4 linked regions of the Arabidopsis thaliana genome follow. The protein of the gene in region 4 interacts with the protein of the main gene of each other region in a biochemical or structural test. Each region holds a gene or a part of one and is shown on either strand. Other genes may lie near its edges. The genes, in order: AT1G51890, AT4G29450, AT5G49770 and AT2G16250.

Evidence for each region.
Region 1: the proteins of AT2G16250 (region 4) and AT1G51890 form a complex in vitro, tested with the Arabidopsis thaliana proteins (one large-scale study listed by BioGRID).
Region 2: the proteins of AT2G16250 (region 4) and AT4G29450 form a complex in vitro, tested with the Arabidopsis thaliana proteins (one large-scale study listed by BioGRID).
Region 3: the proteins of AT2G16250 (region 4) and AT5G49770 form a complex in vitro, tested with the Arabidopsis thaliana proteins (one large-scale study listed by BioGRID).

Annotation. Positions count from the first base shown.
Region 1 is NC_003070.9:19,273,497-19,281,707, reverse strand, and holds AT1G51890 (Leucine-rich repeat protein kinase family protein), read left to right. Parts: upstream 1-2,909; 5' UTR 2,910-3,179; coding exon 3,180-3,249; intron 3,250-3,343; coding exon 3,344-3,881; exon of another isoform or gene 3,882-3,968; coding exon 3,969-4,447; intron 4,448-4,528; coding exon 4,529-4,673; intron 4,674-4,753; coding exon 4,754-4,825; intron 4,826-4,919; coding exon 4,920-4,991; intron 4,992-5,084; coding exon 5,085-5,168; intron 5,169-5,284; coding exon 5,285-5,415; intron 5,416-5,495; coding exon 5,496-5,743; intron 5,744-5,866; coding exon 5,867-6,125; intron 6,126-6,220; coding exon 6,221-6,410; coding exon of another isoform or gene 6,411-6,414; exon of another isoform or gene 6,415-6,497; coding exon 6,498-6,906; 3' UTR 6,907-7,075; downstream 7,076-8,211. Other genes in the region: AT1G51900 (Regulator of Vps4 activity in the MVB pathway protein), read left to right, coding at 1-48, 138-368, 459-692, 782-930, 1,167-1,824; RHS6 (root hair specific 6), read left to right, coding at 7,586-7,721, 7,819-8,211.
Region 2 is NC_003075.7:14,477,134-14,484,927, forward strand, and holds AT4G29450 (Leucine-rich repeat protein kinase family protein), read right to left. Parts: upstream 5,494-7,794; coding exon 5,418-5,493; intron 5,065-5,417; coding exon 4,024-5,064; intron 3,939-4,023; coding exon 3,731-3,938; intron 3,649-3,730; coding exon 3,577-3,648; intron 3,497-3,576; coding exon 3,416-3,496; intron 3,336-3,415; coding exon 3,190-3,335; intron 3,109-3,189; coding exon 2,867-3,108; intron 2,791-2,866; coding exon 2,664-2,790; intron 2,575-2,663; coding exon 2,512-2,574; intron 2,403-2,511; coding exon 2,213-2,402; intron 2,050-2,212; coding exon 1,704-2,049; 3' UTR 1,616-1,703; downstream 1-1,615. Other genes in the region: AT4G29440 (Regulator of Vps4 activity in the MVB pathway protein), read right to left, coding at 1-76, 149-252, 324-456, 548-588; PLA2-GAMMA (Phospholipase A2 family protein), read right to left, coding at 5,933-6,084, 6,213-6,386, 6,454-6,573, 6,680-6,797; PLA2-DELTA (Phospholipase A2 family protein), read right to left, coding at 7,458-7,621.
Region 3 is NC_003076.8:20,220,101-20,228,636, reverse strand, and holds AT5G49770 (Leucine-rich repeat protein kinase family protein), read right to left. Parts: upstream 5,969-8,536; 5' UTR 5,778-5,968; coding exon 5,684-5,777; intron 5,596-5,683; coding exon 5,472-5,595; intron 5,371-5,471; coding exon 5,299-5,370; intron 5,223-5,298; coding exon 5,148-5,222; intron 5,061-5,147; coding exon 4,989-5,060; intron 4,892-4,988; coding exon 4,727-4,891; intron 4,631-4,726; coding exon 4,556-4,630; intron 4,457-4,555; coding exon 4,385-4,456; intron 4,306-4,384; coding exon 4,234-4,305; intron 4,147-4,233; coding exon 4,078-4,146; intron 3,973-4,077; coding exon 3,898-3,972; intron 3,816-3,897; coding exon 3,744-3,815; intron 3,645-3,743; coding exon 3,510-3,644; intron 3,436-3,509; coding exon 2,957-3,435; intron 2,875-2,956; coding exon 2,722-2,874; intron 2,635-2,721; coding exon 2,498-2,634; intron 2,417-2,497; coding exon 2,197-2,416; intron 2,128-2,196; coding exon 1,892-2,127; intron 1,814-1,891; coding exon 1,370-1,813; 3' UTR 1,171-1,369; and 1 more. Other genes in the region: AT5G49760 (Leucine-rich repeat protein kinase family protein), read right to left, coding at 7,585-8,058, 8,133-8,368, 8,442-8,536.
Region 4 is NC_003071.7:7,038,120-7,045,691, forward strand, and holds AT2G16250 (Leucine-rich repeat protein kinase family protein), read right to left. Parts: upstream 5,236-7,572; 5' UTR 4,815-5,235; coding exon 2,848-4,814; intron 2,557-2,847; coding exon 2,431-2,556; coding exon of another isoform or gene 2,427-2,430; exon of another isoform or gene 2,303-2,426; coding exon 2,280-2,302; exon of another isoform or gene 2,195-2,279; coding exon 1,563-2,194; downstream 1-1,562. Other genes in the region: AT2G16230 (O-Glycosyl hydrolases family 17 protein), read right to left, coding at 1-207.

The sequences.
Region 1 (8,211 bases), on a different chromosome or scaffold from region 4:
GTAGAAATATCAAGGCCGGAATATTATAAACCTGAGATTGAAAAACAGGTTTTATTTTTTTGGTTATTTTGTGATTAAGATCAGTTTTTTTTTTTTTTTTTTTTGGTTTAATAATATTTGATCTTGTGTGTGTTTAGGTATATGAAAAGGAAGAGAAGAAAGTAATGGATCCGGATATCTATATTAGATCTTATGAAGAGTCACCAAACGAGGTGTATAAATTTAGCCTCACTGATTTGGAAGAAGAGATAATGGAAAATGACTCCATAGAAGGTGTGAAGTGTAGAATGTTGGATGAAATAATGAAGAAGTCCGGTCACCATTTAAAAATATCAAGGCCGGAATATAAACCTGAGATTGAAAAACAGGTTAGTTTTTAATAAAAAGATCACTAGATATTTTTTTTTATTTTTTTTTGTTTTTGGTTTCATAATATTTGACTTGTGGCATGTGTTTAGGTATATGAAGAGGAAGAGAAGAAAGTAATGGATCCAGATGTGGATATTAGATGTTATGAAGAGTCACCACACGAGGTGTCTAAATTTAGCCTCACCGATTTCGAAGAAGAGATAATGGAAGATGATTACATAGAAGCTTTGAAGTGTAGAATGTTGGATGATATATTGAAGAAGTCCGGTCACCGTTTAGAAATATCAAGGCGGCAATATAATAAACCTGAGATTGAAATACAGGTGATTTTTTTTTTTTATTATTGTTGTTATAGTAAGATCAGTAGATATATATCTTGGTTTCATAATATTTTGGACTTGTGTGTGTTTAGGTCAATGAAAAGGAAGAGAAGAAAGTAATCAATACGGATATGGATATTAGATATGATGATGAGTCACCAGAAGAGGTGGAGACATATTCTAGTCTCACGGATGATGAAGAAGAGAGAAGCAAGGAAGATACATCAATGGAAGATGTGAAGTGTAGAATGTTGGATTAAAAAACGACGAAGCTCGGCCACCTTTTAGGAATATCAAGGCCGGAATATAGACCTGAGATTGAAAAACAGGTGATTTTATTTTGTTGTTAATTGTATTAGTAAAGATCAGTAGATATATATTTGTTTTTGTTTTTCGGTTTCATAATATTTTGGACGCTTGTGTTTAGGTCAATGAAGAGAAAGAAAGAAAGTAATGGATATTAGATCTGCTGGTCAGTCACAAACACGAGGTGTACAAATTTAGCCTCACCGATATCAAAGAAGAGAGAAGCAATGAAGATACATCAATGGAAGATTGTTGCATAGAAGAGGCTCAAGTCGGAAAAGATCAAAGAGTCTTCAGATTCAGAGAAAGTAGTGAAGAGAAGAGAAAATCCTCATCATCACCATTATCACCACTAACAGAGTTTAGGGATATGGAGAGTTTGACGTATTACATGAGGCAAAAAGGGATGCATCGAAGAAGAAGAAGATCATCAACATCACCACATTGTTGCCATAATGTAGTATACAATGAGTTTAAAGTGACGAAGGAAGAAGAAGAGGAAGAAAGACAAAGATTAACAACCAAACGTGTTCATTCTAAGCTTCATGAATACGAACAATTTTTAACTCAGTTTAAAAAGAAGAAGGAAGAAGAAAACGAGAGACGAAGATTATCACCCAAAGACTTTGAGCCTACGCTTCCTGATTACGACCAAGTGATTACTCGCTTTAGAGTGCTGGAGAAGGAAGAAGAAGAAAGACGAAGATTAGCAACAAAACATGTTCATCCTAAGCTTCCTGATTACGACCAGATTGCTACTAAGTTTAAACTCCTGAAGGAGGTAGAAAAAGAAAGACGAAGATTATTAACCAAACACAGTTCATCCTAAGCTTCCAGGATGAGACACGAAGATTATCAACACCAAAAGGAAGATGAAGAAGACTATAACCAAACCACTAGGGTTTTTTGATTCGGAGTCGGACCAACCTTAAGGTTGGAAAGCTAACTAAAGCTTCGCCTCTGTCTTTTTGAATTTTCCACAGTCCAATTTAGGATTCAAAGTCTCTTTTTGTGTTGAAGAATGAGAGACGAAGATTATTAACCCAAAAAGAAGAAGAAGAAGAAAGACGAAGATAATTAACCAAACCGCTAGTTTTTTTTTTTGGTTTTGATTCGGAGTCGGACCAACTTTAAGGTTGGAAAGCTATTTAAAGCTTCAGCTCAGTCTTTTTTGAATGAAGTCTTAATTGATGTACTATATAATCGAAAATGAAAATAGTGTATATGAGATCTTTAATTTTGTTACCGTATAAAATATGTTGATTCATTTTACCAATTTGGGTATATCTTACAAAAAAGTTTATGTTACTCGTTTTTAATTAAATAAGCAATCAAATGACTTAGTCATAAAATTTAGTGAAAATTATCCAGATTTGAGTCATGGATTTATAAGGGAATATTATAGGCGACGTCAAAAATCAAAATCACCTAAGTTGACTTATTAATTTCTAAATTTTTCTTCACTTTATTTTTAAAAAAGAATTTCAAACTCATCGAAATTTGTCAAAATAATTTCAGATAAATATATACCATATACGTCAACGGACTATAATATCGAGTTTTTTTCCACACTTAATATTAGAAATTTCAGAAATGAATATTATAGGCAACGACGACGTCAAAAATCAAAATCACCTAAGTTGACTTATTCTTTTCTAATTTTTCTTCACTTTATTTTTTAAAAAGAATTTTAAACACATCGAAATTTGTCAAAATAATTCCAAATAAATATATACAATATACGTCAACGAACTATAATATCGAGATTTTTTTCACACAAAATAAAAGTACGATTGTTTAGTAGTTTATTTACGCTCTCTTTTTGTTATTATAGTTGCTTTTATTGGAAGCTTGGAAGGCAAGTTGGGTATTTTTGTTTTGTTTAAGCAAGATTCTGCAACTTTCTTTGTTTGTATCTTTCCATTCTTTATTTACTTTCGTTTGATTTCTCATTTTGTTTTTATATATTTGCCACCAATTCTAGTTTGAACATTTCCACAAGACACATAATTTCGTAGGCAAATAAGAGTGCTGTTACAATCACCTGAATAAGTCTAATGTTGAAGAAGAAGACTTGGCCATCTTAATTGACCAATACTTTGCTCTTATGTCAATCTTTACCCACCAAGAACCTATGAAAAATGAATAGCCTCCTCTGATTCAGAACAAACATCCCCAAAAAACATGAGGTTTTTGTCTTTCTTGATCTTCGTTTTCGCAGTTCTTGGATTGGTTCAAGCTCAAGACCAATCAGGTTATTTACTCTGTTTTCATGAAATCTTGATGTTTTGTTTCCTTTTCAGATCAACAAAACCTCTTAAAAGTTTGTTTTTTTCGATCATAAACAGGATTCATAAGCTTAGATTGTGGTTTGGTGCCTACGGAAATTACTTATGTGGAAAAGTCGACGAATATAACATACAGATCAGACGCAACTTACATCGACAGTGGAGTTCCCGGGAAGATCAATGAAGTGTACAGAACACAGTTTCAGCAACAAATTTGGGCCTTGAGAAGCTTCCCTGAGGGTCAAAGAAATTGTTACAACTTCAGTCTCACCGCAAAACGTAAGTATCTAATCAGAGGAACCTTTATCTATGGGAATTATGACGGTTTGAATCAACTCCCGAGCTTTGATCTTTACATCGGTCCAAACAAATGGACCTCTGTTTCGATCCCCGGAGTGAGAAATGGTTCAGTCTCCGAGATGATCCATGTCTTAAGACAAGACCATCTTCAAATTTGTCTTGTGAAAACAGGAGAAACTACACCGTTTATTTCTTCATTGGAACTTCGTCCTTTGAACAATAATACATACGTCACAAAAAGTGGATCGCTTATTGTGGTCGCAAGACTTTACTTTTCACCCACTCCACCATTTCTCAGGTACAGAAATGAGCCAAAAAGGTTTTATTTTCATACTAGTTGTTTTGTTGTTTGTGTTAAATTATCAAAATGAGCCTTTCTCTCTAGGTATGATGAGGACGTCCATGACCGAATTTGGATTCCATTCTTAGATAACAAAAATTCCTTGTTAAGCACGGAACTCTCTGTTGATACAAGTAACTTCTACAATGTGCCTCAAACTGTAGCGAAAACTGCTGCTGTCCCTTTAAATGCTACTCAGCCTCTGAAAATAAATTGGAGTCTCGACGACATCACTTCACAGTCATATATATACATGCATTTCGCTGAAATCGAGAATCTTGAAGCTAATGAGACCAGAGAATTCAATATTACTTACAATGGTGGCGAAAATTGGTTCTCCTATTTTAGACCTCCAAAGTTTCGTATAACAACTGTATACAATCCAGCAGCTGTGAGTTCTCTAGATGGGAATTTCAACTTCACTTTCTCGATGACCGGTAACTCTACTCATCCTCCTCTTATCAACGGCCTTGAGATTTATCAAGTTCTAGAGCTTCCACAGCTTGATACATACCAAGATGAAGGTAAGTTAAGCATGTTCTTAAACCAATTCTTTTACCAAGAGTTCATGTCTTTGAAGTTTTTGAAATGTAATGATTGATCAGTTTCCGCTATGATGAATATCAAGACAATATATGGATTGAGCAAAAGGTCTAGCTGGCAAGGAGATCCATGTGCTCCTGAGTTATATAGATGGGAAGGTTTAAACTGTAGTTATCCAAACTTTGCGCCACCGCAGATCATATCCTTGTATGTTTTGCTTGTTAATCTCACAATTCTTTAGTTTCGAGTTTTTTTTCTCAAGTTCTAACTTTTGGACTCTCTATTAGGAACTTGAGTGGAAGCAATTTGAGTGGTACCATAACATCTGATATATCCAAGCTAACACATTTGAGAGAACTGTAAGAATCCGAAACTGTCACACACTAATAAACTTAAAGTATATGATATGGTGTATTGTGTATAACAAATTTATTTTTTTCCTTTAATGCGCAGAGATTTATCAAACAATGACTTATCAGGAGATATTCCATTTGTTTTTTCTGATATGAAGAATTTGACACTCATGTGAGCTACTAAATGACTAATATATTTATCTTGGTTCTTGGTCGCTCTGCTCTTTGTGTGCTGTTCTCAAAGATTCATTTTTGTCATTTGCAGAAACTTGAGTGGAAACAAGAATCTAAATCGCTCAGTTCCAGAGACTCTTCAGAAGAGGATAGATAACAAATCTTTAACACTAATGTAAGATTTTCAGTGGATTCAGTCTCAAGCTTTTCAAGTCACGGAAAGTATTTCAGAATCCTATGAAACAGTGTCTAACCTTCTATTCGATTCCACATCACCTTTAATGATTGCAGTAGAGATGAAACCGGAAAAAATAGTACAAATGTAGTTGCTATCGCAGCATCAGTGGCTAGCGTGTTTGCTGTGCTAGTTATCTTGGCTATCGTTTTTGTCGTCATAAGGAAAAAACAGAGAACTAATGAAGGTATGATCACTAGAATAGGTCTTGAAAATAATGAAAATGAAAGTTGTCAGATTTATACTCACTTCCTTTAGGTTTTACAGCTTCAGGACCCCGATCATTCACTACTGGCACGGTTAAGAGTGATGCAAGATCATCGAGTTCATCAATCATAACAAAGGAACGCAAGTTCACTTATTCGGAGGTACTAAAGATGACTAAAAACTTTGAGAGAGTTCTTGGTAAAGGAGGGTTTGGAACAGTGTATCATGGTAACTTGGATGATACTCAAGTAGCTGTGAAAATGCTTTCTCATTCATCAGCTCAAGGTTATAAAGAGTTCAAAGCAGAGGTACTTTAACAAGAAATGGATATGTTTTTTTTTTTTTTAATAAGAAATGGATATGTTAGTCTTAATTGTTTTTAAAGTGCATTAGGTTCCTCAATCATGAATGGTGATTTTGTTCTTTCTTAGGTTGAACTTCTTTTAAGAGTTCATCACAGACATTTGGTGGGACTTGTTGGTTACTGTGATGATGGAGACAACTTAGCTCTGATCTATGAATATATGGAAAAAGGAGACCTGAGGGAAAATATGTCAGGTAAGCACTTTAATTTAGTTGAATCCATCTCCTTAGACAGTTTGAAACATTCAAAGCCTGGTACAGGAAAACACAGTGTCAATGTCCTAAGCTGGGAAACAAGAATGCAAATAGCTGTAGAGGCAGCACAAGGTGAACTAAATTATGACTTATATACTTTTCATTCACAACAATTTGTGTGGTAGTCTGAAAGCAAGATTGACATAAACAATAACTATTTGTAACAGGATTGGAGTATTTGCATAACGGATGTAGGCCTCCTATGGTACATAGAGATGTGAAACCAACCAACATTTTATTAAATGAGCGGTCTCAAGCAAAACTAGCCGACTTTGGGCTATCGAGATCTTTTCCTGTTGATGGTGAATCTCATGTCATGACAGTCGTTGCAGGAACACCTGGTTACTTAGATCCTGAGTGAGTGAATCAATCTGTTTCTTGTACTGAAATAAGTTATGAAGAATTGGGAACTGTAACCTCTCTTTATGATACTCTTCTTTTCAGGTATTACAGAACAAACTGGCTAAGCGAGAAGAGTGATGTGTACAGCTTTGGTGTAGTGCTTTTAGAGATAGTCACAAACCAGCCTGTGATGAATAAAAACCGAGAGAGACCTCATATCAATGAATGGGTTATGTTCATGCTTACCAATGGGGATATCAAGAGTATTGTCGACCCGAAACTGAATGAAGACTATGACACAAACGGTGTGTGGAAGGTTGTAGAGTTGGCTTTAGCTTGTGTAAACCCGTCTTCAAGCCGTAGACCGACAATGCCACACGTGGTGATGGAGCTAAACGAATGTCTTGCTTTGGAAATAGAAAGGAAACAAGGTAGTCAAGCGACGTACATAAAGGAATCTGTTGAGTTTAGTCCATCTTCTGCTTCTGATTTTTCCCCTTTAGCTAGGTAAAAGTCTTTGTGTTATCAAGCTTTGTTGTTTATTATAATCGATTGTTCATATTGAAATGTTTAAGATAGTTCTGTGAATTTTCTTCAAAATGTATTAGCCTTTATTATGTGTAACATTCTTGGATTCCAAGAAATTTATATCTTTAATATTAGTTTATGTATGAGTCATCAACGCATGGTCTTGGATGCTCTTTTTTGATTACTCTGTTCTCATGATTTTGAAGTAAAAGTTTGCAAGAAATTCGGACTCATACAAATTCAAAGTGAACGCATGAAAGCGTTGTTGGAGTCAAATGTGACATGGTCCGTGTATAATTCACTAGAGTTCATATCACATACAAAAATAAACGTGCCTCCATAAAAATTAAAATTTACTATCTGATTTAAATTGACTGATTCATTTAAAATCTGCTAAAGTTTTTTAACCTATAAATAATGTAACAATTGATTTCACATCTTTTTTTAGAAGTCTACCTAATAATATACATTTGAAAATTCTCCAACGCCTGAAAGCGGAAAGAATGTCGTAGACACGTAATGTGTTACTATAATAATCACCTGAATAAAATAAAAGAATCTAATGTTGAAGACTTAGCACACAGCTTACACAAGCTATGAATGCCAAATCAATTGACCAATATAATGTTATCTCAATACTTGCCAGTCAAGAACAATGATCAATGAATAATCATAACCTCCCTGAATCAGAGCACTCACTGCAAAAAAAGAAGAAGATGAAGTCTATTCATGGGTTTTTGCTCTTCTTGATCACAGCTTATGTCATTTTGGAATCAGTTCAAGCTCAAGATCAATTAGGTTCTTACTTTTTGTTTCTTCGATTACTCTATAGATTAAGAAACCCTTTTGGAATTTGTTTCTTTAAATTTGTTATTTTGGTGTTGATCGTCAACAGGATTCATCAGTTTGGATTGTGGGTTAGTCCCTAAGAACGCAACTTATACGGAGAAGACGACAAATATAACATACAAATCAGATGCAAATTACATCGATAGTGGATTGGTCGGGAGGATCAGTGCTGAGTACAAAGCGCAGCTTCAGCAACAAACTTGGACCGTAAGAAGCTTCCCTGAGGGTGAAAGAAACTGTTACAACTTCAACCTTACCGCTAAAAGCAGATATCTCATCAGAGCAACCTTTACGTATGGGAATTACGATGGTTTGAGACAAGTCCCCAAGTTTGATATTCACATTGGTCCTAGCAAATGGACTTCTGTTAAGTTGGATGGAGTAGGAAATGGTGCAGTCCTCGAGATGATTCATGTCTTAACACAAGACCGTCTTCAAA
Region 2 (7,794 bases), on a different chromosome or scaffold from region 4:
CTCCCCAACATCTGTTAACCTTTGAGAAGCGTATAAGACACTTGCGACAGCTTCCTTAAGATCATTAGGACATGTCCTGAAGTAAGATCACAAACAATGATCAACACAATGAAGAAAAAACAAACAAGGGTTGTTCAAAGAAACTTACTTTTGAGAGTCAATGACACCCAAACGAGCAACAAGAAGTTCACAATATATACCAACGAGCTCATAAGCAGCTACTGTCTTTTCTTCTCTTACCACATGCTCCACCTGACAATCCATGAATTCAAAATCACAGATTTCATACAAAACAAATGAAAATTTGATTGCTTTTTACTTACCCGAATTTTAGCTGTTTGGGTTTGGCCGGATTCAAGCAAATGAGCTAATTCTCTCCTCAGTTGCTTAATCTGTGTATCCTTTTTGTTCTTCAGGATTTTCAGGCGTGAAGCCGCCATTTGTAAAGCAATTTTGCTTCATTATTGAAAATAACAATCACCCAAATGTATCAATATTCCGGTAATGTGAAGAAACTCGCAAGAGGAAAATGAGAAAGTGAATATACCATTTGGCAGGCTTGAAACTTCGATGAAGCACCTTCTTCATTGAGCGAAACTTGATTAGAGAAACGAAAGGTCAAGCCTTTTGAGGTCTTGTGGAGTCTCCGAGTACACACAATTGAAACGAAAAATCTGGGCTTTAAGGGTTTTTGTTGAGGAAATCAGATGGAAATTTTGTGATCTGAGGAAATGGACCTTCACGTGACACGAAGAAAAGTATCAATTTTGGAGAAGACGCAGAAGAAGAGGTGAAATAGAGACGATAAAAAAGAAAAATTGACTTTTGGCAAAAACGGGTTAAATAGTGTTAGAAGATTTTGATTAACGCGTCAAAATGACAATCATGTAAGAAAACAAAAACTCAGAAAAACGAGTTAATGAAAAAGACATGTGTCATGTCGACAGTAATTTAAACAAAAATCTTGTATATTAACATTATTGATTTTGTAAGGTTATTCAAATATTAGATTTTCCAACTTTGAATATCTTTCGTTACTCCAATTAATCCCCGAATCATTTAATATATAAACAATGATTTTTATCAGATCTTCATTAATATCAAAACAATCTTGAAAAAATAATAATTAAGCTAATAAAATTTAAAGCGTTACAAAATAACTAGATATGTATTAAATAATTATAACCGATTTTTTGTATATGTCTAGAGTTAGTGGGTCACATGTTTTGAAATGTCTTTAAATGTAGAGACACCGACAACAGATAACTGAAATACCATAAAACTAAATTTCAAAATTAGCATTTTTTGTATTAGACAAAAAAAACAATTGTTTAAGAAGAAATTAATTGATTTATTTTCAACAAAAATAACATGATAAAACTCTATACAATTTAATAGAAATATATGATTCATCACTCAATTCAAAGCTTATCAATTTGATCTATAGTACGTTAATTTCCTAGATCAGCAATTATGAGAAATATGAATCATTCATTTCATCACAAAACTATTACAAGTAGGATTTTAACGGAATCGACAACGATCGAATTTTATACAAAAGAATTTGAGTAGAAACCTTTTAGAAATTGTAGTCAATCATAATATGAATCTGACCATACAACACAAATAACCTATATAGAAATTATCCAAACCTCTTTTAATCCATTTGGCTTCGTCCTACTTCTCCGTAATCTCTTTGACTTTCACTGGCTCTGTGGCTCACGGTCCAGCTCAGCAGCTAGGCACTGTTTCAGCTCCGCTACGATCTGGTTCATCGTTGGTCTATTCGATCCTTTATCTCTGACGCAAGACATTGCCACATCCACAAACTTCCAAGCTGAGTCCTGCGAGAAGTCTCCCCGAAGCAGCGGGTCCACGACGCCGTCTAGTTCTCTAGCCTCAAAGAACGGCCAAACGTAGTGAATAACGCTGATATTGTCTCCTTCTTCTGTTTTGATGATGGCTCGCTGGCCAGTGATGAGTTCAAGAAGAACGACCCCAAAACTGTACACGTCGCTCTTCTCGTTCAGCACAAATGTTCTGTAGTATCTGTCACCACACGTCGCAAATTGGTTACCATGTATTCCTGATAAACTTAAAAAGGGTCCGAACTGAATTGGCCAACCCTAACCCTAGTCTCACTAAACCGCTCTGGTTTGTGAAGCTACCAGCCAGAACATGTGATCTGTATTGATTGTGAAAAGGAACTTACTCAGGATCAACGTAGCCGGGAGTGCCCATGACGGTAGTCACGACGTGGCTGAGATCGTCTTCAGGGAAGACCTTAGAAAGGCCGAAATCAGCAATCTTGGCTTCCAAGTTATCGTTTATTAGAATGTTTGCTGTTTTAACGTCTCTATGTACTATTGCTGGTCTGCATCCATCGTGCAAATACTCCAAACCTGCCAAGGGGGAAATAAAACCAGGTTTCACAATACAGAACTAGGCTAAACCAGGTTTGGTTTCTTGGTTAAGCCCTGAGGAATCAAGGTTGCCAAAACCGGGACCAACCTTGTGCAGAATCTATGGCTATATGGAGTCTCTTTTCCCAACTAAGATCCTCTGCATTCTCACCTGCATGTCCATAAACATAACACCCGTGAGCTCATAGGAAGCAAAGCAACAATTGGTAACAGAGATATATAGAGAGATAATAAGATGACTTGAAAGATAAGCCTGCAAGTTGCCGTTGGCCATGTACTCGTAGATGAGAGCCATGCTACGATCATCATCGCAGTATCCAACAAATGAAGCTAAGTTACGGTGATGCACTGTCAAAAGAAGCTCTGCCTGCAAACATTTTACAGTACTTAAGCATTTTAATTTCTAAAATATTTGATCATGTTTTTGGTGTTCTTTAGATCACCTCGACTTGGAATTGGTTAGAAGCCCGGGATAATGATGATGATGAAGTTCCTTTAGGTTTTGCCAATGAAGAATCGTTTATCATCTTTACAGCAATTTTAGTCCCATCTTCAAGGGAACCAAGGTACACAATACCAAACCCTCCTTTACCAATCACTTTATTGAAGTTGTTTGTTATGCTAGAGACCTCATTATATGTGAACCTTCTCTTCCCTGAAGGCAGGAGTGGTCCTGAATAGGCTCCTGAAATCAAAACACTCGTTTTTCTCAGCATAAAACAACTTCAATTCATTAATCCTGAAGTAAATATTCCAGCCATCTAACCTTTTTTTCTTTGCCTTAGTATGATCCATATGATAACCAAGACGACAACGAGAACGATCACTGATGCTGCTACAGCTATTGGCACGACCATGCTCTTCTTCTTCTTCTTTTCTTGACATGAGTTACAAAGGTTTTGCTCATCCGCACTGCAAAACAGAGGAAATCACAAGATTCAGAGAGAGTGCTTGTGTTGAATAACTTTCTGAATAATGCTAGAAACTGTTACCTGAGCGTAAGTAAACCGGCCTTTAACTTTTTCATAAGGGATTTTGGGATAAACCCAGTAAAATTGTTTCCTTTCAAATTCCTTACAACACAAGTAAATGTGTCAAGAGGCAAATTCATTATTTAAATAGACCAACACTGTGTATATTTGTGCTTACTTACAGGACTTTCAAATGTTTTAGATCAGCCAAAAACTCAGGCACATTTTGTTGCAGGTCATTGTTGGATAAATCCCTGAGAAAAACAATGCATAACTCTCTGATAGTTCATGTGCATAAAAAGTGGTGAAAAATGTCAATTGTATACGTATACTTACAATGACTCAAGAAGAGAGAGATTTCTAAATGCCAAGACTATTGGTCCTAGTAATCCGCTTGAGCTAAGATTCAGGGACTTGATTTGATGATTATTATTGTTGTCGCTGCATCCAACACCTTCCCAAGGGAATAATCTTGGGGAGCAAGGATCACCACTCCAAACCTTGTTCACTTTATAAGTTGCTTTTATGCTTTCTATAGCATGAACTGCATTACCAAGAGAAAATGTGACTATGTGAGTTTCAGTAGAAATCTAATTCTATCTAAATAGAGATTGAAAGTGGAAACTCACTGTCTTCAATTGTGGTGGAAAATTCATCTAGAGATTGTGCGGTAAAAATCTCTATAGCATTGAGAATCGGTGGAAGCGTTGAATCTACAGTCTTCTGAATAGAAATCCAGTGATCTTTACCAGTGAAAGCTCTTGGATTAGAAAACGTCGTTGAATATTTTGAAGAAGGTTCGAAAGAAGTTTCAGAAACAGGGGAACCATTCCACAAAATCTTGATCTTTCTAGTCTCATTCTTCTCTAGTGTTTCGAGTTCCGCGAAGTAAAGATATGCGTAGAACCGAACATTTGGATCGTCTGATGTCCAGAACAATTCCAACGGATCATCAACGTTTTCAGGAGCAGCAGCTGTCTTAATAACTTCATCAGGTGGACAATAACCGTTCTGAAAAACATCGATATAGCCCGATGTTATAATCGAGTTCCAGGAGATATTTGAGGAGTATGGAGACCAAATACGATCGAATCTATCGTCTTGGTACCGTCCTGTTCCGTTTAAATATCCAATGTCCCATCTTCGATAGAGAACCAAAGAGACATTTCTTCCAAATTCAGTACCGTAGATTGAGCTGTTCACTGGTCGGAGCTCTAACCCTGAAATAAAAGGAGTTCCTTTGCCTTTATTCACAAGGCAAACATATATTGTATCCGACTCTGCAAAGCTTAAAATCTCTTTGGTGACTTGATCAGAAGCATTTTTGAATTTCACTGTCGACCAGAAGTTCACGTTTACATAGAGATCAAACTCAGGCAAAGCTTTTTTACCATCGTAGTTTCCATACATAAAGGAAGCTCTAATGAGATAAAGATGATCTTTTCCTTGTGAAAGTTTTAAGGTGTAACAGTTTCTGTTTCCTTGAGGGAAAGCTCTTACTTCAGCAAGAGTTGACAGCAATACCGGGTTTTTTGGATAGCCGTATTCTTCAGAGACCTTGAAGTTTACGCCGGTGGTTATGAAAGCTTCATCGGAGACGTAATTAATGTTAGTCATAGTGTCTTCAGGGGTATCGTAAGGAGGTATGCCACAATCGATGCTGATGTAACCTGGATCAGAGGAGAAGAAAGGGGAGTTACTTCCAACACAAGTAAAATTGTTTATGACGTCTGAGAACGTTCATGGATAGGTTTAAAAATCTGCCTAACTTCGTTTCTCTATATTGACAAAAACGTAGATCACAACTTTCAAGAACCTTCAAGAACATCGGTCAATTTCAAATTAGAAAACAGAGAAAAGAGAGAATTGTATGATTACTTGTAACACAAGACATTGTATAAGGGTTTGACTAAAAATCCAAGACATGTTTAAAAGACAAAAACTTTTCATAATAAAACTCAAGCTTTCTTCAGTCTGAACCTCGCCTCAATTTCAAATCAAAACAGAGAGGAGAAGAGGGAACCTGATTGGTCTTGGCCGTGAACTAAAATGGTGGTAACAAGGGCACAAAATATGCCGAAAACGAGATTAGCCCTCATTTTCTTCTCTCTTTTTTCAGAAGTTCTTCAGCTTACCATCTTCAGGAAAAAAACAGACTACGTGCGAGTAAGATAAGCTTAATTAAAAGCCAAAAAGTGCAAAGTCTACTCTTTATGGTATTAGCCAGGTGTTTGTAGACTTTTCTTTCATCATTGGCTCAGTAACTATATATATTTCCCACTAAGGACAGGAAGACAACCTGGATTTTATAAGATGGAATTAGTGACAATGTCACGTTTTGACTTTAGTGAAGTTATTAAAGATGTGATTAACATCCAAAATAATAGATAAAATACATAGACTGAGTCATTGATTGCCAGTTGATTTTGATCTGGGACAGAATTCAAAGTCTTTTTTTGTTTTATGAATTTTCTATAACAACGAAGTTACAGAGAGTAGTCACTTTAGAAGATGATCAAGAAATAGTACTAGAAGGGCTCATATATTTAAAGAAGCAGAGACTTTGGAGCCTTCTTTTGTTTGAAGGCCTAGTTTTGTTCCAAGGCCATCCTTTGTGTCCACTTTACTCCGAGCGAGATCCACCTCCACGACGGGCACGCTTCCCAGCACCGGGGGATTAAATATATTACCTGCGCAGAGATTATTCACATATATCTTATCATAAGAAATGTCACAATGTAACAGAAAAAGAGTCATGTGGTTTCATCACTAGTACTAGCTTATATTGAATGTCACAAAATCAGAGCTCAATAATTACCTATCCCACTGAAGAAAATGCCGTAATCCATTCCATTGAACACGGTTGGTATCACTATCGAATAAGGGCATTGTGTGGAGAATCCAATCTTTTCTCCGTTAGAGTGTTTAATAGATTTGCTTAGCTTGTTTACGCAACGTTTGAACTGCTTGTGGCAGTTAACGTAAGTCATACCTAATAAAAACCAAATATTAACTCAAGAATGGTTTTCATGCATAGATTATGTTGTTGATTGGTTTACCTTTTAAATCAACACAATTGTCATGAGTCATACAACAAGCATCAAGATCATCACAAGGTGGCTCTCCAGGACATCCAAAGTAACCTATCCCACAATACTTCCCATAGCGAATACCAAGACCTGAAAACAAAGATTGGATCAAAACATATAATGCATGCACAAGTTTTTTTCTCCAAAATCAAAGGAAGGCATAAGAACTAAGATGATAAGAAAAAAACAATCTTACTGTTGCAGTTCTGTGCAATGCAGGTGTTGCTGCACTTCTCCTGGCTGCTAACGACGGCGAGGAGGAGGAAGGCGGTTAAACCGAAAGCAACACGTGACAAAGCAAGCCCGGTGATCATCTTTCTAAATCTCGCTCTCTGGTTGAAGTTTTTGGGTTTTGTGTTCTTTCAAATTCTGTCCCAAACTATTTTTGGCTCTCTCTGGAATGGAATATCCCATTTTTGGTTGGTCCTCCTGCTTTCTTGTCCTTCCCCTCTCTCTCTCTTTTACGTACACAAGAATTTAAAAAATGAAGAAGTTGCATGACTACCAATCAAATCATCATATTTTATGGACGTTCCTTCTCGAAGAAGCATTATCATGGACGGTAAAAACAGAGTATCATTTTTGTTACCTCTTGGAACAGAACACGTTTAAGCTATGTATTCGCAACGGCTAATGATTTTCTTAATGCAATCTGTTACAAATAGATTGCAGATTAATATGTTTCGATTTTCGTATCATTGCTGATTTTTACATCAAGAAACAACAGAATTTATGTTTGATTTATTAGAAAAAAAAAATCCATATACACTTTTTCTTCTTTTCTACATTTGATTTCTTATATAAGTATGAATTCGTTTTGAATCCTCTCATATCTAGAGTAAAAGAGAAACTAATGTAATGTATAAAATACATGGGAATCATGAACCTGAGAGAATTCAAGATCTTGATCATTTTTCATAAGACAACAAAGTTAAATAATCTACAAAACTTGAGAGTTATGAGTCACCTAATGATCAAGAAGGAGAAGGGTTCATCGGAACAGAGACTTTGGAGCCATCTTTTGTTTGAGGGCCTTGATTTGTTCCAAGGCCATCTTTTGTGTCCGCTTTACTCCGTGCCAGATCCACCTCCACGACAGGCCCGGCACTTGCTGGCTTCTTAGGTATAATGATATTACCTGCGCGAGATTATTCGCATCTTATCAGATTTTAACACTAGCTAAACTAAGCTATTTGCAGTGTAACATTAGAAGACAGTATAGTAAGTGCTATAATACAAAATGTCACAAAACAATGTAACATAAGTAATTCGGTTTCATCACTAGCTTATGGTTTCCGAAGTCTATAAGTG
Region 3 (8,536 bases), on a different chromosome or scaffold from region 4:
GAATAATGTAAAAGTAAACATATAAATAATAGAAATTGGCAGTGGATCATTTAAAGACTAGTTCCACTTGATAAAATATGAGAATGCTATTAATGGAAGGTTCGGAAAATGTGGTTAGATGGAAATGCCACTAGGGTTAATGGGAAAGAACCAATTATGAATATAAGATTATTAGAAATTTGAAATCTATTTATTTTGAAACAGAGGGAGTAGTTATTTTGAAAGGAAGGTAATTTTTTTTGTTTTGTCCAAAAAAAAAAAAAAAGGGTAATTTTGTTTGCTCTGCTTTAACTCCAATATTTGGATATTTTTTTGGATCAAATCGACCCGAAATATTGAATCAAAACGGAACCAACGTGATGATCAGTTATTGTGATGAGAAACTAGTGTCTCATTTTAAATATGATGTATTAAAACGCTCATTAATGATTCAAACATTTAAAGAAAAACGAAATCTACAAACTAAAAACGTTAGATATGATTGGCTTGCCCAAGACGGTTCAGGTCAGCGAAATAGTTTTCTAACAACAACATGGTCAAAGTCCTGGAAACAATCAGCGTAAGCTTTTACCAACTTGAGATAATATACTAATTGCAGTACCGACGATGCTGATATTTTGATGATATATTGACCAGTACTCCGTTCCAAATAAAATATAGGTTTTTGTTTTCTTTGTTTTTTGTTTCTTGCAATTCAAATGATTATAGATTAAACAATTCACTATATTTTCTCTTAAAAAAAAATTTTCAAATTAAGTGATTTTTTTTCATTTTACTAAAGAAATTCTATTTTTTGTGACCATTTTTATTTTCATATTGTGTCAGTTTTTTTTTAATTACTAGATAAACAGTTTAATTTTATGGTAGAAAATCGATTAATACTGTAATAGTAAACCGTAAAAAACCAAAAAGTGTGTATACAAGTCTGTTATTGAAAGTATTCACTTGATTACGAACGAAGTTAAGAAAATCATAACTACAACATGAGAATAGAGAAAGATCATCCGTTCGCGGATTCAAGAAGGACACACTAGCATCCTTGCTTGGCACAGTATATGTGCGTGGGGATACCCGTAGAGACATGACAACCGGACTGCTGAGACAACCTCAAAGAGAGTATATTCAAAATCCGGTGATTAGATTTATTTAGTATCATGACAACTTAGGGTTGCTTAGGGTTGATGTTTATTTTGATTCCAATCTTGTTTACACTTTATAAGCAGCGACCACAAAACAACATATATCAAAAATCAAATCATGCTAGTACACACACATTCACACGGCATTTAAGGTTGTAAAGTCACTTACAAAATAACCAAAAAACAAAACAATAAAAAACTGAGAAAGAACAAATTAATCAATTATTGCGTTAGGGTTTTGGAGTTGGGAAAACCCCAGTGTACTCAAACGAATCCCTACCATAAGGATCACCAGATGCTTCCTCGTATGTTGCTGAATCGGCGTTAGGGTTTAATCCAACAAGCCGCAATATGCTCTCAAGTTCTTGCACCACCTCACTCATTGTTGGCCTATTAACTCCCTCTGGCTCCACGCATTGTAGAGCCACATCTACATACTTCTCGAACCCTTTCAAATTCCCGCTGTTTTGGATAATTGTCGTGTCCAACAATTCTTGTAAGTCATACAAGTTCCTCGATTTATCCATCTTCTTCTTTACCTCTTTCACAACATAGCTGCCTCTATCTATCGGACTTTTACCGGTTAATAACTCAAGCATCACCACACCAAACCCATACACATCGCTCTTCTCCGTCAATTGATTCGTCATGTAGTACTCAGGATCAAGATAGCCCTAATTAATTCCAGAGATATTGTTAGTTTTTATAGTTAATGGTTTCATATATTTTATGATAGATTCTTTTTTACTCACCATGGTTCCTTTCACTTGTGTTGTGACATGAGCTTTTTCAGGGTCCCCCACAAGTTTGGAGAGACCGAAATCAGCAACCTTTGCGGTTAGATGTTCATCAAGTAATATGTTATTTGATTTGACGTCTCTATGTATAATTGGAGGATCAGCAAGCTCATGAAGATAAGCTAGACCCTTCCCTGAGCCAAGTGCTATTTTGAGCCTTCTTGTCCAATCCAGTTTAACCCCATTCTTCCCTACATTTGTTTTTCAAGTTCAGCACCAAAGAACTAACAAAGCAAGATATATAGAGATTAAATATATACCTGATAGACCGTCTCTAAGGGACCCATTAGGTATGTACTCGTATACGAGCATTTGTTCTTTTTGATCAAAACAGAAGCCCAAAAGCTTAACAACATTTTTATGATGGACCCTTGAAAGAAGCTCAATCTCGGTCTTAAACTCGAACGCTCCTTGCATGGATCCTTGTTGAGCTCTTTTGATTGCTATGACTTGCCCATTGGGAAGGGTACCTTTGTAGACCTGTTTCACCATCAAATTGGTATTATAATTTGAACTACTACCTCTGGTTGTTTCAGTTGAGGACATTGGAAATACACAAACCTGGCCATAACCTCCACCGCCAACATCATTTGCATCTGAAAAGTTGTTAGTACATTTGCTAAGCTCTTCGAAAGTAAAGGCTTTTGTTCCCATTAGTTGTGGAGCATCCATTTCATTCTTCCCCGCATCCCACTTGGCTACAACAGACAAACGAGAAGCTGTCAGGATTTTCATAAGACAAGAGAAAAGTCTTTTGTTCTAGTGTTAAACCATTTTTCTTTTACCAAAAGGATTCATTTGATCAGTTGCTCTCTGAGCTCTCTTCTTCTGTCTAAGAGCGTAAATCCCAGCTAAAGCCAACAGCAACAGAAGAACTACAACACCAACTACTACTCCAATTATAACTTTCATACTTACTGTCTTGGAATCTTCTAAATCTGTGAAACAAACAAGGCTTATAAGTAAAATGAGTTAAATCAATATAGATTTCGTTTGAGTGTGTGTTACGTTTCATCATACCAGAGAATGTTTTGTACTGATCGGCGACGAAAATATAAGGACCAAATCTTGGAGGAGGCTTATAATCCTGAATGGTAAATGCAGAATTAATAGAGTCCATTTCCGTCTGATTAAAGCGGTCGCGTCCCGATGGAAAGATCAAGAGATTTATCAAAAGATGATAATCAGTTGGATTCTCGCTTATGTTTCTCATGGCCACAGAGTCTACAGGATACTTGCCATTCTTAAAGAAAGTCATTAAACTCTCCCCAAACTTTAGGAAGTTACTGTTGTTTGAAAATCCGGAGAATGAAGGAGACCTTAAGGTGAATACTCCTGTAAGTGGATACACACAGTGGCAGCCTTGATTCGGTTCCTTACCTTTACCACAATGATTACCACATTTTGTTAGGGTAGAAAATGTGGAATTTGGTTGGACTGCATTGCAGTAGCCACTCAGCTGATTCGCCGGGTCTTGGCACACTTGATTATCTGCCAACCTATGGATATATCAACACACATACGTAAGTTATTCTTCAAAGATGTTACATATTGGTCAAAGATGAATACATACATTACATTGACGGGGTTATTAGCTGGTGATTTATAACCAGTTATGAAGTTGTCTCGTAAATCCACAAAATCCAATTGTTTGCTATAGTTGGTACCAAGGTCCAATGTTGTGTTTATAAGATTGTGCTTTAGGGAACTGCAAGTCAAGAAAAACCATCCCAATCAGTACATGTTTCACAAATCTTTGAGTTGACTTTCCAATTGAACATTCATGATCATGACTTATTTGACTCACACAGTTTGCAATTGAAGAGGGCTAAAAAGGGAGGTTGGTACTGGACCATCAAGTTGGATATCTTCCAACCTTCTGCCAAGTTGAAGACCATTTTTTCTCATTATGTATGCTCACAAATCTATATATATCTAAAAAGAGAGAGGAATGCTCATACAATGTTGACAAAGAGTTTAAGAAAGGGATCCATGATGGAACCGGTGATAACGCCAACGGGTTATTGCTCACATCCCTGTTACATAATAATCATATCATGGCATTAGATTGATTATTAATAAGAAAGGTTTCTGATGCTAAATTTGAGCAACAAACGAGGAAGAAAAATATTGAAACTTACAATGTGTAGAGACTGGTCAAGCTGGTCAAATTTGGAAGACTACCTGTAAATTTGTTGTCGGACAAATGCCTGAAATGGATTCAACTACAAGATCTTTTACATCTTTTCATTTATATATCTTAAGAAAACAGAACAAATCTTTATTTGCTCACTTACAGTTCTTGAAGATTTGTGAGATTATTAAGACTTGAAGGAATGTCTCCACTTAGTCTATTCCTATCAAGACGTCTGTAACAAAGCAAATATCTTATAAGATTAAAGAAATTTTGTGAACATACAGTTTGGAAAATATATTTCTACTACTTACAACACAGTCAAATTTTGAACTAGGCCGAGGCTCTCTGGGATGCTACCGGTGAATTGGTTTCCATCAAACAGCCTATTGATAAAACAAGAACAAAAATGCAATCATCACTTTGTTAGTTTCTAATATCAACTAGTGAAAACTCTCAGCTTTTGCATGTACTATGAAACTTACACATGTAGCAAAGTCATTTCTGAGCTAAAGAGCTTCTCTGGGATTTCGCCTGAAAGCTTGTTATTACCAAAATGACTACAAAAGAAAGTAAAAGAGAGTCAGAGTGATGAATGTTATATATAAAGAGTAACTAAATAAAAATGAAAACTAAGGATTTGGGATTATATATACAAATGCCCAGTTTGAAGAAGCATGTCAAGTCCAGGTAAAGAAGCCCCATCAGAAACTGGAAGCTTTCCTTCTAACTGATTGTCAGCTATGTCGAACCAATATAGTTTCGATAACCGTCCCATGGAAGCCGGAATTGTTCCACTAAATTTATTTAAATTCAGAGAGCTGTATGGAGGAAACGCAAAGTAATACTTATTATGAGTTTTAAAGATTACATTGAAAAAGTGACTGTTTATAAATTATAAGAAGCAACAAATCTTACAGTCTTGTAAGTTGTTCAAGATTCCCTATGGAATCAGGGATTGGACCATTAAAAGCACATCCCATAAGGCTCCTAGAGAAGAAAACAACAAAAGAAAAGGCGATATATAAGATAATGCGATTGATGGAATTAGGTTAAGATCTTGTTTACTTTGCTTACAAGAAAGTCAACTTCCTGAGGTTACCGATATTTGCTGGAAGCGGTCCAGACAATTCAGGATTGCCAGTCAAATCCCTGCAAACATCGAATCATAAGATGAGAACTAAATCCATTTTTATGCAAAGGAAAAAGAAGAAGAAGAAAGACCTACAAGGTTTGCAATTCAGACAATGTCGAAATTTCGGTAGGAAGCTTTCCTTTCAAGTTACGGTTGGTTAATGATCTGAAACAAGCAAATAACACAGCTTAAAGTCTGTATATAGAGGATTATATTGAAGAAAGAAGCAGCAAAAGAACAAACAAAGAAAGGGACCAAGGTGTTACATTGAAACAACACGGTTATCGTTGTTACATGTAATTCCAACCCATTCGGTTCCACAAGGATCAGAGCTTTTCCAACTCTTGGATAACGTGTCCCATTCGTTCTTCAGGGCTTGTAAAGCAGTAACTGCACCAATATTGAAAGAATTAAAATACAAAAAATTGGAAATCTTTATCTGTTAAAAGAACTCTGATCATCATCTACTTATACTTACAATCTGAACCATCTGTGAACGCATAAACAGAGTAAATTTGGAAGAAAAGCAAGATCAAGAGCTTAAATAATCCAATTCTTGAACTCATCTTCATCAGACACACAATGATATGTATCACAATTCGTTCAAGAAGAAAGCATGTGGTCTGCACAAGTTATGACGAACTCTAACATAAAAATGCAGCCTCCATGTTCTTTGCTAACAAAGCATGTAAGACATAAAGGAGAAGACTTTGAACAAGTTAAGCGAAAATTTATAAATAAAGCAAACAAATAGACAGTGGACCATATAAACAAATAGTTCAACTTGATATAGATAATAAAGAACCGCTATATATTGCGGAAGGGTTCAAAGGTATTATCCAAGGGAGAAATTGAAATGTCAATACGGTAATGTGGAGGAACAAATTATGAACAATGACTTGGCACAAAACACCATTATAATAGACTAGTCCTTTATTAACTACATAAATAAATCTGTTTACATGATAAAGCATAAATATGCAATATGTAACAAAACTTAACTAAATGATCTAACATTTAATTGTTTCTGCACAAAACTGGGAGAAGTCATGTATATATTATTTGTTTTCCTAGAACGTTTCTTCTCAAGAAAAGAGAGATTTTTGAAATAGAGTAATGGTAAGCGACTATGCACTGATATGGTTTTTCTAACAGCAACATGCAATAAAGTCATGGTCATGGAAAAAATCAGCACAAGCTTTTATCAACTTGAGATAATAATACTAATTGCAACAACAATGAATGATGCTGATGGTTTGATGTTATATTGACCAGTACTTCCTCCAAGTAAATTAATAAAAAAAATATTTTTTGTTTTCAGTGTACCCCAAATTGATTAAAAATTAATCGATTTTTTTTTTTTGCCCATATCATATTCTCCGATCAATATACTCCAAACCGACGGAAAACTCAGAGATGGGATGGGACCTTGACCACTCTGACATATGACCACATCGTCTATTTTTTTCCTACGTATGTATGCTAATGCTATTTGGCCACATCCCACCACTTTTCTTATTTTTTTTGTATGTTATTTTTGTTTTGTTAGTGTTTTAGTAAAAAGACTTTTTGTAGTAAATAAGACACAAAAACATATGTGTGCTTTAATCCTCTTAAGAAACTAATACGATATGACTCCGGTATAAAAAAAGTTATGAGTCTACCGTAGTCTACCGTAAAGAATGGTAAATGGAGGAAACATATCGAGAAAAACTTGGTGCCGGTTCGCTACCTCACCATGAAATATATGGCAGAGTTGCCACACACCACATGTCTTAAATCATGTTTCTTTTTATTTTTTGTTAAATCATGTCATACATTTTGGGGGCGTGTTTGAGGTGTGGACAACAAGGACACTAGATCAGAGAGTGCTCTCAGATGAGACGACAACCATAAATTCACCCTGGGTCATGTAACTGTTGTTGTTCGATGGGATCGTTGATGTGTTAGGTTGCAAACCCAATAACTTTATTACTTTTTTTTCTTATTAGTTAATACTAATTTTACTTACGTACTACAAATTATTTGTAATATAAATTTGTAATATAATCTCATGCATAAATGTGAAAGGTTTGGAGTAAATTAAAAGTGTGTGTGATGTGTGGATTAAATCTTTGAAACCACACAAACTTCTCAACAAGAATTAATATATTCAATTATTCATCATACATTGAGCTTGATTACTTTTCTTATGTTTGAAACTGGTGTCGACATTGCCAAAGATCTGGTGGTTTTTGATTCTGCGTTTGGCTCTCCATTCATCTGCTTTATAATCAGCGACCACATATCAAACAGAATCATGCTACTCCACATTCACAAGGCATTTCAAGTATGAAGTCACTTACGAAATAACAAAATAACAAAAAGAAACATAATCAATCATTGGGGCTCAAGCTTTGAAGCTGGAAAATTCCCACTGTACTGAAACGATTCACTGCCATAAGGATCACCAGATCCTTTGATTGCGTCCTCATACGTTCTTGAACTCGTTGCTGAATCTGAGTTAGGATTTAATCCCGCAAGCTGCATTATGTTCTCAATCTCTTTCACAACCTCACCCATTGATGGCCTATTAACTCCTTCCTCCTCCACACATCTCAAAGCCAAGTCTACATACTTCTCGAACCCTTTTAGATTCCCACTGCTTGCTATGATCGTTGTGTCCAACAACTCCTGCAGGTCATACAAACTCCGAGATTTATTCATCTTTGTCTTCACCTCTCTCACCACATATTTGCCTCTCTCTATCGGACTTCTACCGGTTAATAGCTCGAGTAAAACCACACCAAACCCATACACATCGCTCTTCTCCGTTAATTGATTCGTCATGTAGTACTCTGGATCCAAGTAGCCCTGATTACAAAGATATTGTAAGTTTAAAATGTATTTGAGAAAAAAAGAGAAAGGAGGATAAATTTTCTACTCACCATGGTTCCTTTGACTTGTGTTGTGACATGAGTTTTCTCAGGGTCTCCCACAAGTTTGGAGAGACCGAAGTCGGCAACCTTTGCGGTTAGATTTTCATCAAGTAATATGTTATTTGATTTGATGTCTCTATGTATAATTGGAGGATCAGCAAGTTCATGAAGATAAGCCAAGCCCTTGCCTGAACCAAGTGCTATTTTAAGTCTTCTTGTCCAATCCAATCGAATCCCACTCTTCCCTGCATTACTAACATATTCAGCATCCAAGAACTATCTGAAATCCTCATGAGGAAGATAGAAGTTTGATCTTACCGGACAGACTGTCTTTAAGTGACCCATTTGAAATGTACTCGTATACGAGCATTTGTTCATTCCGGTCAAAGCAGAAGCCCAAGAGTCTGACAACA
Region 4 (7,572 bases):
TCCAACCAAGGATGTGATGATGGAGGAATCCGCATTGTATAGCCTCACTTTCTGGATGGAGGTAGATTGGAGGAGTTTGGCCGTTTGAGAAGGTGGCGGGAGGTTGTCGGATAGTAAGCCGTAGTTTACTCCGATAAACGACTGTGCATTTGACGGCGAAATAGAGAAGAGAATGAAGAGGAGAAGGAAGAGGATGGAGAGAGCCATGAAGACAGAGGAATGTGGAGGAAGTGAGATTTGAAATGTAAAAGAGTAATAAGTTAGTGTAAGGGTTGGGAGTAATATAGTATAATTAATTGGTTAGTGAACAGAAGTTTATGCAGAATCCCAAAGCTCATAATCACATGTGCTGATTTTACTACAACCCACTTGCTGACTTCTTTGCATGGGTTTCCCCATTGTTTACAGTATTAATCATATTTTTGGAGATTTCTTTCAAATTTTGTTTGGTATGGAATAATCTGTCAAATAGCCAATTAACAACCAACTTATTAAATCAATGAGAATTGGCAAAAATAACCCAAGAAAATAATATTCCGCTGTCCAATTTCTTATAAGATGTTTTAGTTAAATCACATATATTAAGAAACTTATGTTCTTTACAAAATATTATTTATTTATTTAAAACAATTCAACCAATCGTGGCAAATATTGCATATAACAGAAATGATTAGAAAATATGAAAATTTATTTTAAGTTTTAATATAATGGACAAAAATAAAATACATAAGAACATCTTATATATTGGGATATAGTTTAGCTATTTAATCATTCTAAGTTTCTAACCATGATAGATTTGGCAAAAGTAACTCATTAGAATTTCAATTTTTGTTTGTAATGTTGTAATTTTCAAATTAAGTTCAGTGTATGAAATAATTAAATATAATTACAGGTAACTCAGACCAAAAATCCTACAACTTCAACATTTTGGTTCATACGTATATATATTATAAGTTTACGTCTCTAAACATAATGGTTCTATGGTCTAGCGGTTAGGACATTGGACTCTGAATCCAGTAACCCGAGTTCAATTCTCGGTAGAACCTTTATTTTTACTTTTTGTCCCAATATGAATCAAAAGCTTCCCACGTGCGAATGAACTAGTCAACAATATTCACACGTACGAAATCAGATCCAACAAAAGGAAGAAGTATCTTTCCTTTCACTTTTTGTCCAAATACATATCAAAAGCTTGCCACGTGCAAATGAAATAGTCAACAAAATTCACACGTACGAAATCAGATACAAGAATAATAAGTAATGGTGGAACTGAAACAAATGTAACCCAACTTTTTTGTTTTGTTTTGTTTTCTGGTCTTTCAATAAGAAAGAAACCGAAAACAAAACCCAATCTCCAAGAATTTTACAATTTACAAAATCCACGTTTGAACCAAAAAACAAAAACAAAGAGTGAACTAACATTTCTAACTCCCACCAATCCTAAACCCAAAAACAAAACAAAAGAAAGAAAAAACAAATCCTCCTCCCATCTAACATTATGCTACCTTTGAGGACTCTCTTTGCCTCTGTTATTATCGACACAAAAGAATCGATGAAACGAATCATAAATTATCCTCTACTACTCCATAAGCAGCAGGTTCCGGTACAATCTCACTAGATTGCCGTCTTCTCGACGACGATGAATTCCCGTTGTTGTTATTGTTCCTTCCGCTACTTCCTTGCGACCCCGAGTTTCTCAAACCATTACCACCACCACCACCACCACCACCGCTTGTTGTTGCTCCCGCTTGAACAGCTGTTACATCCGACGCACTCTGCCTCCAGCTCCCAAATATAGCAGCGTTCCAAGACCCTCTCGACGAGTTTGTTCTTAACCGGGAAGAGCCTGAACCCGAGTTGGTATCTTCTCTTACTACTTTCAGTGGGTTCTCAAGTGCGTTCACAATGTGTCTCATTAATGGTCTTCTTGTTGGTTTTGGGTTTAGGCATGACTTTGCAATGATAGCCATTGCCCATACTTCTTCTAGAAGGTCTTCGTCCACCATTAATGACGGGTCTAAGATCTTGGTTACTAGTTCTTTCTCGTTTGTGCTGATGTATGGCAAAGCTTCTTCCATGTACTCTTTTGCAAGTGCGTTGTCTGGCGAGCTAATCCCGAGCTTCCCCGTTACTAGCTCAAGTAACACTTTGCCAAAGCAGTAGACATCATACGAACATATTGCATTTGTTACACCTGAAAAGAATAAACCAATCAGATGTCTATCGGTTAATCGGAGATGGTATATCCTGATGAAATTTTTATTCTCCTAAGTGTATACCTGAAGAAGATGGTTCACTCGATCTGCAAGAATAGGAAAAGAAGAGACAGCGAAGCATTAGTAGGTGCCAAGACAACATACAGAGTCATGTTAGGGAATCAAAGTAAAACAGAAAAGGACCAGAGAGTTTGTTAATGTAATAAGCACTTACTGCGGTAATCGAAGTAAACGAGAAATTCTGCTTTGATAAGCATCACCTTGAGCATATGCCTCGCTTAGGCTTCCAAGACGTACCTCAAATTTATCATCAAGAAGTATGCTACTTGCTTGTACATCCCTATTTAACATTGAACACAAACACACACATGAGTTCTCTCGCTTTTCTTCTTATCAGGCAATAGAGCATAGATCAACAAGAAGTAATTTAGGAGCAGGTGATGTCATTGGGCTTCTCCATCTATGAAACTATACACTAACAATTCTTGAATAGATCTTACTAATTATGAACATGAAAGGTTATATGATACTAAAAACAGAATCAACAAAACAACTTCCAATAGTCTTGCTATGTCAATGCTTTAAAAAATATCAAGATTATATTACGAGAAGCTGAGCAGGAGAGTAGTACCTATGAACTAGAGGCGGTGAACACTCATGATGCAAATAAGAGAGTCCCTCAGCTGCACCAAGAGCAATTTTCAACCTTGTTATCCAATCCAAAGACTTCAATCCATCACCTTCGTTTTCGGATTTCCTGAACAAAGAGCTAGCCAAATCACCGTGTCTCATAAACTTGTATACCAAGAACTTTTGGCTCTCATTCTCCAAGCAGTGTCCCAAAAAGGGAACCAGCCTCTGGTGTCCAGCCTTACTAAACAACTCCAGTTCTGATATATAGCCTTCACTTTTACCTTCCCGCACATCGATCTTTTTTATAACAACGGGTATACCATTTTCCAAGAAACCACGAAACAGATTCCCCGAATGACCACGTTTTATCAGATTAGCATCATTGAATTCCTCTGTTGCCTGAAGAAGCTGCTCATAAGAAAATGCATTTCCAAGACGTGACAAATCAAAGGTTTGTGCTCCTTTAGGTGGTTGTTGTGAAGCTTCCCCGGCAGGTTTTGGCCTGTCGTTATTTCCTCTTTGTGCCGCTCTGCGTCTATGGCGCATGCATAGAACCAGAATAATTGGCAAGATAACAAAAAGAAGAATAAAAGCAACTCCACCACCCACTGCTGCCAATATAATTACTGTTCTGCGGCTTATCCCTGAAGAAGCATTTTTCGATGTCGGTTGTGTCAAATTAGGACGTCCGAAATCATCAAAATCTAATCCTCTAGACTTATAGAATGCTGCACATATTGCTGACGGCTTCTGTCTCCTCTCATTTCGAAGGCAATTGCTTGTAACAGACACATTTTCCCCGGTCACATAATCAGGAAGCTTACCTTCGAAATAATTACCAGAGAGGTCCATTATCCTGAACCGTCTAAGAATCGGTGTGAGCTCTCCATAGAATGTGTTCGAAGAGATATCAACCATTTCAGCTATCTGGTCTGAATCATAACTAGAATATGGCAGCAGTCCTGTGAAGTTGTTCTTAGCAATGTCAAGAATCCGCAATTTTGGCAACGACCAGCACACATCAGGTAGACTACCAGAGAAACCATTTTCCCTCAAAACTAAAGTTTGCAGTTGGCTCTCAGCACTAAACAAATCTACTGGTAAAGTACCACTCAAAAGGTTATCGCCAATCGCCATTAGCTGCAACTTACTTAACTTTCTTAGCTCCTGAGGAACTGAACCAGACAATGAATTGATGCTGAGATCAAAGTCAACCAGATTGACAAGATCACCAAGCTCTGAAGGAATCGGAGACGAGAAACTATTGCTTGAAAAGTTCAGATGGATAAGCTTTGATAACGCTCCTAAACCAGGAGGGATAGGTCCAGTAAGGTAATTGGAAGAAACATCAAGAGTCAACAGATTCTTCAGAGAGCTAAAAGATTGAGGAAGAACACCAGTGAATGAGTTCCTAGAGAGATCAAGCTGTGATAGATTCAACAACTGTCCTAAACTGCTAGGAACTAAACTAGTAAGACTGTTCTGAGACAGATTCAAAGTTCTTAAACTAGTGAGATTACCAAGAGTAAAAGGAACAACACCGTTAACAGAACACGAACTAAGATCCAATACTTCCAATGCCAACAAACTAACACCAAACCACTCAGGTATAGTCCCCGGTAACGCTAACCCGGACGCGTTAAAATACGACAAACGAGTTAGATTACGAAGAGGATCAACAGAGAATTGTGGGTTTAGCTTACCAATTCTTGTTCTCCTAAACCCAGAGATATTGATCCCAATGATACTACCATTCTCACATTGTATACCTCTCCAATCAACACAAGGGTCACCTTTAATTGGCCAATCTGTTCCTCTTAACCCTAAAGAAGACCTGAGATTAAGCAAAATGAGTTTCTCACTGAATCGACTCTGTGTTTGACCAACAACAACACAGTCGAAGAACAGTACCAAACACAACAACAACAAGACAAAACCCAATGCGCTTCTTCTTTGATCAACCATTGCTTATCAAACTCAATCCAATGACCCATCAACACTCATCACCCAAACCCAGAGAGAGACAGAGACTATTTTTTTCAGGATTTAAGCAAAATACCCAATTCAACAACCCTAATAAAAATAACGTCTTTCGATCTTTAGAGAGGAAGAAAGAGACAGATATCGAACTGGGTTTGCTCTGTTACTGGATCCAATTACAGCTCCTACCTTCACAGACATTAAAGCACCTCTCTTTCTCTTTCTCTCTCTCTCTCTAAATCCTAATTTATGAGAAGAAAAAGTAGAAATTTTTCACTAATCCTTAAAATCAGACAAAACAAAAAGTGATTTGTTGAGTGAAAAAAATCTTTAGAGAGAGAAAGAAAGAAGAAGAAGAAGAAGATCGAGATTGTTGAGATAACAACTGTAGACTGTGACACTCCTCTCTCTCTCGTCTTTGCAAGAAACTTCGAAATTAATTTATTATTAATTACAAATCTGATTAATTAATAATTTTGAAATTAGATTAAATTAAAACCTAGTGTGGGGTAAAGTGACGTCGTTTTAATGTTTGGTTTGACTTTCCCGGTAATCCCGCCATAAGCCAGCTAAGCTGTTGCCGCAATTACTATTTGGGATTTTTTCTTTCCTTCTTTCCTGTTTTATTATTGTTGTAAATTTAATGTTCGGATATATAAGGAGTAATATATCTCACGTCCTATATTCACCATTCTTGGCCGAATAAAGGAATCTTTTTCTTTTCTTGCTAAAATTTTCTAAATACTCTGAATTTTTTGGTTCGAATGGTAACGGCAATCAGAATAGATAAATTCATCGATAATATAAGTGTGTTTTATTTTCAAGTAGATAATAAATCGTTGTGGATCAATCTTATTTGTATGTAAAAATGGTTTATGATTGGTTTACGGCAGTTTTCTTAGTATATATTATTATAGATTCTAATTTATGATTGGTAAATTAAAAGCGGTTTAATCTGCATAGTATTTGTCCGTCTCAACCGCTGTAATCATTTGCATTTTAAACAATTTATTACAACATATAATCATATACAGTACAATAGAAAATTATCAACTAGAAAAACATGTGAAATGTTGGCAACTTTCTTTCAAAATATTGGATGAAATATTTATCGGTTATAGGATTTTGTAAAGATGTTGAAGTATTCTTTTTAAAAAACAATGATATTGAATTTTCTAGCTTTTTTGATATGATCCAAAAATTTGATATATGTTTAGTTTAAAATTGATAGAAACAAATTCTCTATTGTAGAATGTTCAATTTAAACAATGCCAATCGAATGAAAATATTTAGTTTTTTTATTTAATTTTACTTGAAAAATGAATGATTATGTTAGTTCAAAGTCTCACTATGGTTTATTTAGAAAATAGTGATTAAGTAGACATTAATAGAGATGAATTTTTCTTGAGCTAAAAATTTCTCAAAAGTTTTCTCAAAATATATGAACAAGTGATGTGAAATTTTCTTAAACTGTTTATTAATTTTCATATGCTACAGTTGCGTATATGATTTTATTAATCGTTCCAATTACTGTTATTTCCATAGAAAAGTTTTCTCTAACCTCGAGCTAGTTAAGTCATAATTGAGGATATTTGTTCGGGAAGAAAAAGCAATGAACTATTCATCTTTCGTCGGATAACAAATTTACATCACTACCTAATTTTTGTTACATATCCCGCATCGCTATTAAATAAATCCAACGTGTCCGAAAGTACAAATGTTGTTTGTATCTGTGTTTTCCAGTTCAAGATCATATAACTAACACATGTCCTCTTCGTGAGACCCCACACATACAAAATAAGCCGTCAAATCTAAACCATCGGATCAGAGCAAGATTATTTCGATTCTGGTGACGTGGCACAAATCATGCGTCCAAGAGAGTGTTTTGGTCACAGTTCTAATCATATTTCTGAATGCATGTTAAGCACCGAATCAACGTAACCATGGTTTCGCGCTTCTATATAGAACCGTCGTCGTCATCATCTTCCTCAAATCTTTGGACGTGGCTTATGCAGACAACGAGTATCGATGCTTCGTCGGAGGTTTAGCTTGGGCCACCGATGAACAGTCTATAGAGAGGTGTTTCAACGAGTTTGGTGAAGTTTTCGACTCCAAGGTCCGTTAAAGTGTGACTCTGTTTTTGTGTTGCTCTGTTTCTCTCTTTGTATCATAAAAATCTCGACTTTATATGGTTTATGGATTGGATCAGATCATCATTGATCGTGAGACCGGGAGGTCTAAGGGGTTTAGATTTGTGACTTTTAAAGATGAGGATTCCATGAGGACTGCGATCGATAGAATGAATGGTCAAGAACTTGATGGTCGTAACATTACTGTTAACTAGGCTCAGGCTCGTGGTAGTGGTACTCGCGGTGGTATGGTTGGTGGTTACGGAAGTGGTGGTTACAGAGGTAGACGTGATCAAGGTGGTTACAACCGTGGCGGTGGAGGTGGATACGGTGGTGGTTATGGAGGTGATCGTCGTGAAGGTGGTTATGGAGACGGAGGTTACGGTGGTCAGGGGCGATCTGAAGGAGGAAGCTGGAGAAATTGAGTCTTGTGATGTTTAGTCTCATGCTTTGTTACCAAAAAAAAAAAAAAAGTCTCATGCTTTTGTTTCTTCTTTTACTTTAAACGACTGAGACTGACACAAAGAAACAAACTTTGGATTGAATCACAACTAGTTTGGTACAAATCAGAAGATTTTAAGGAGTCATAAAGCTAATTCTAATTCTTAGGAAAC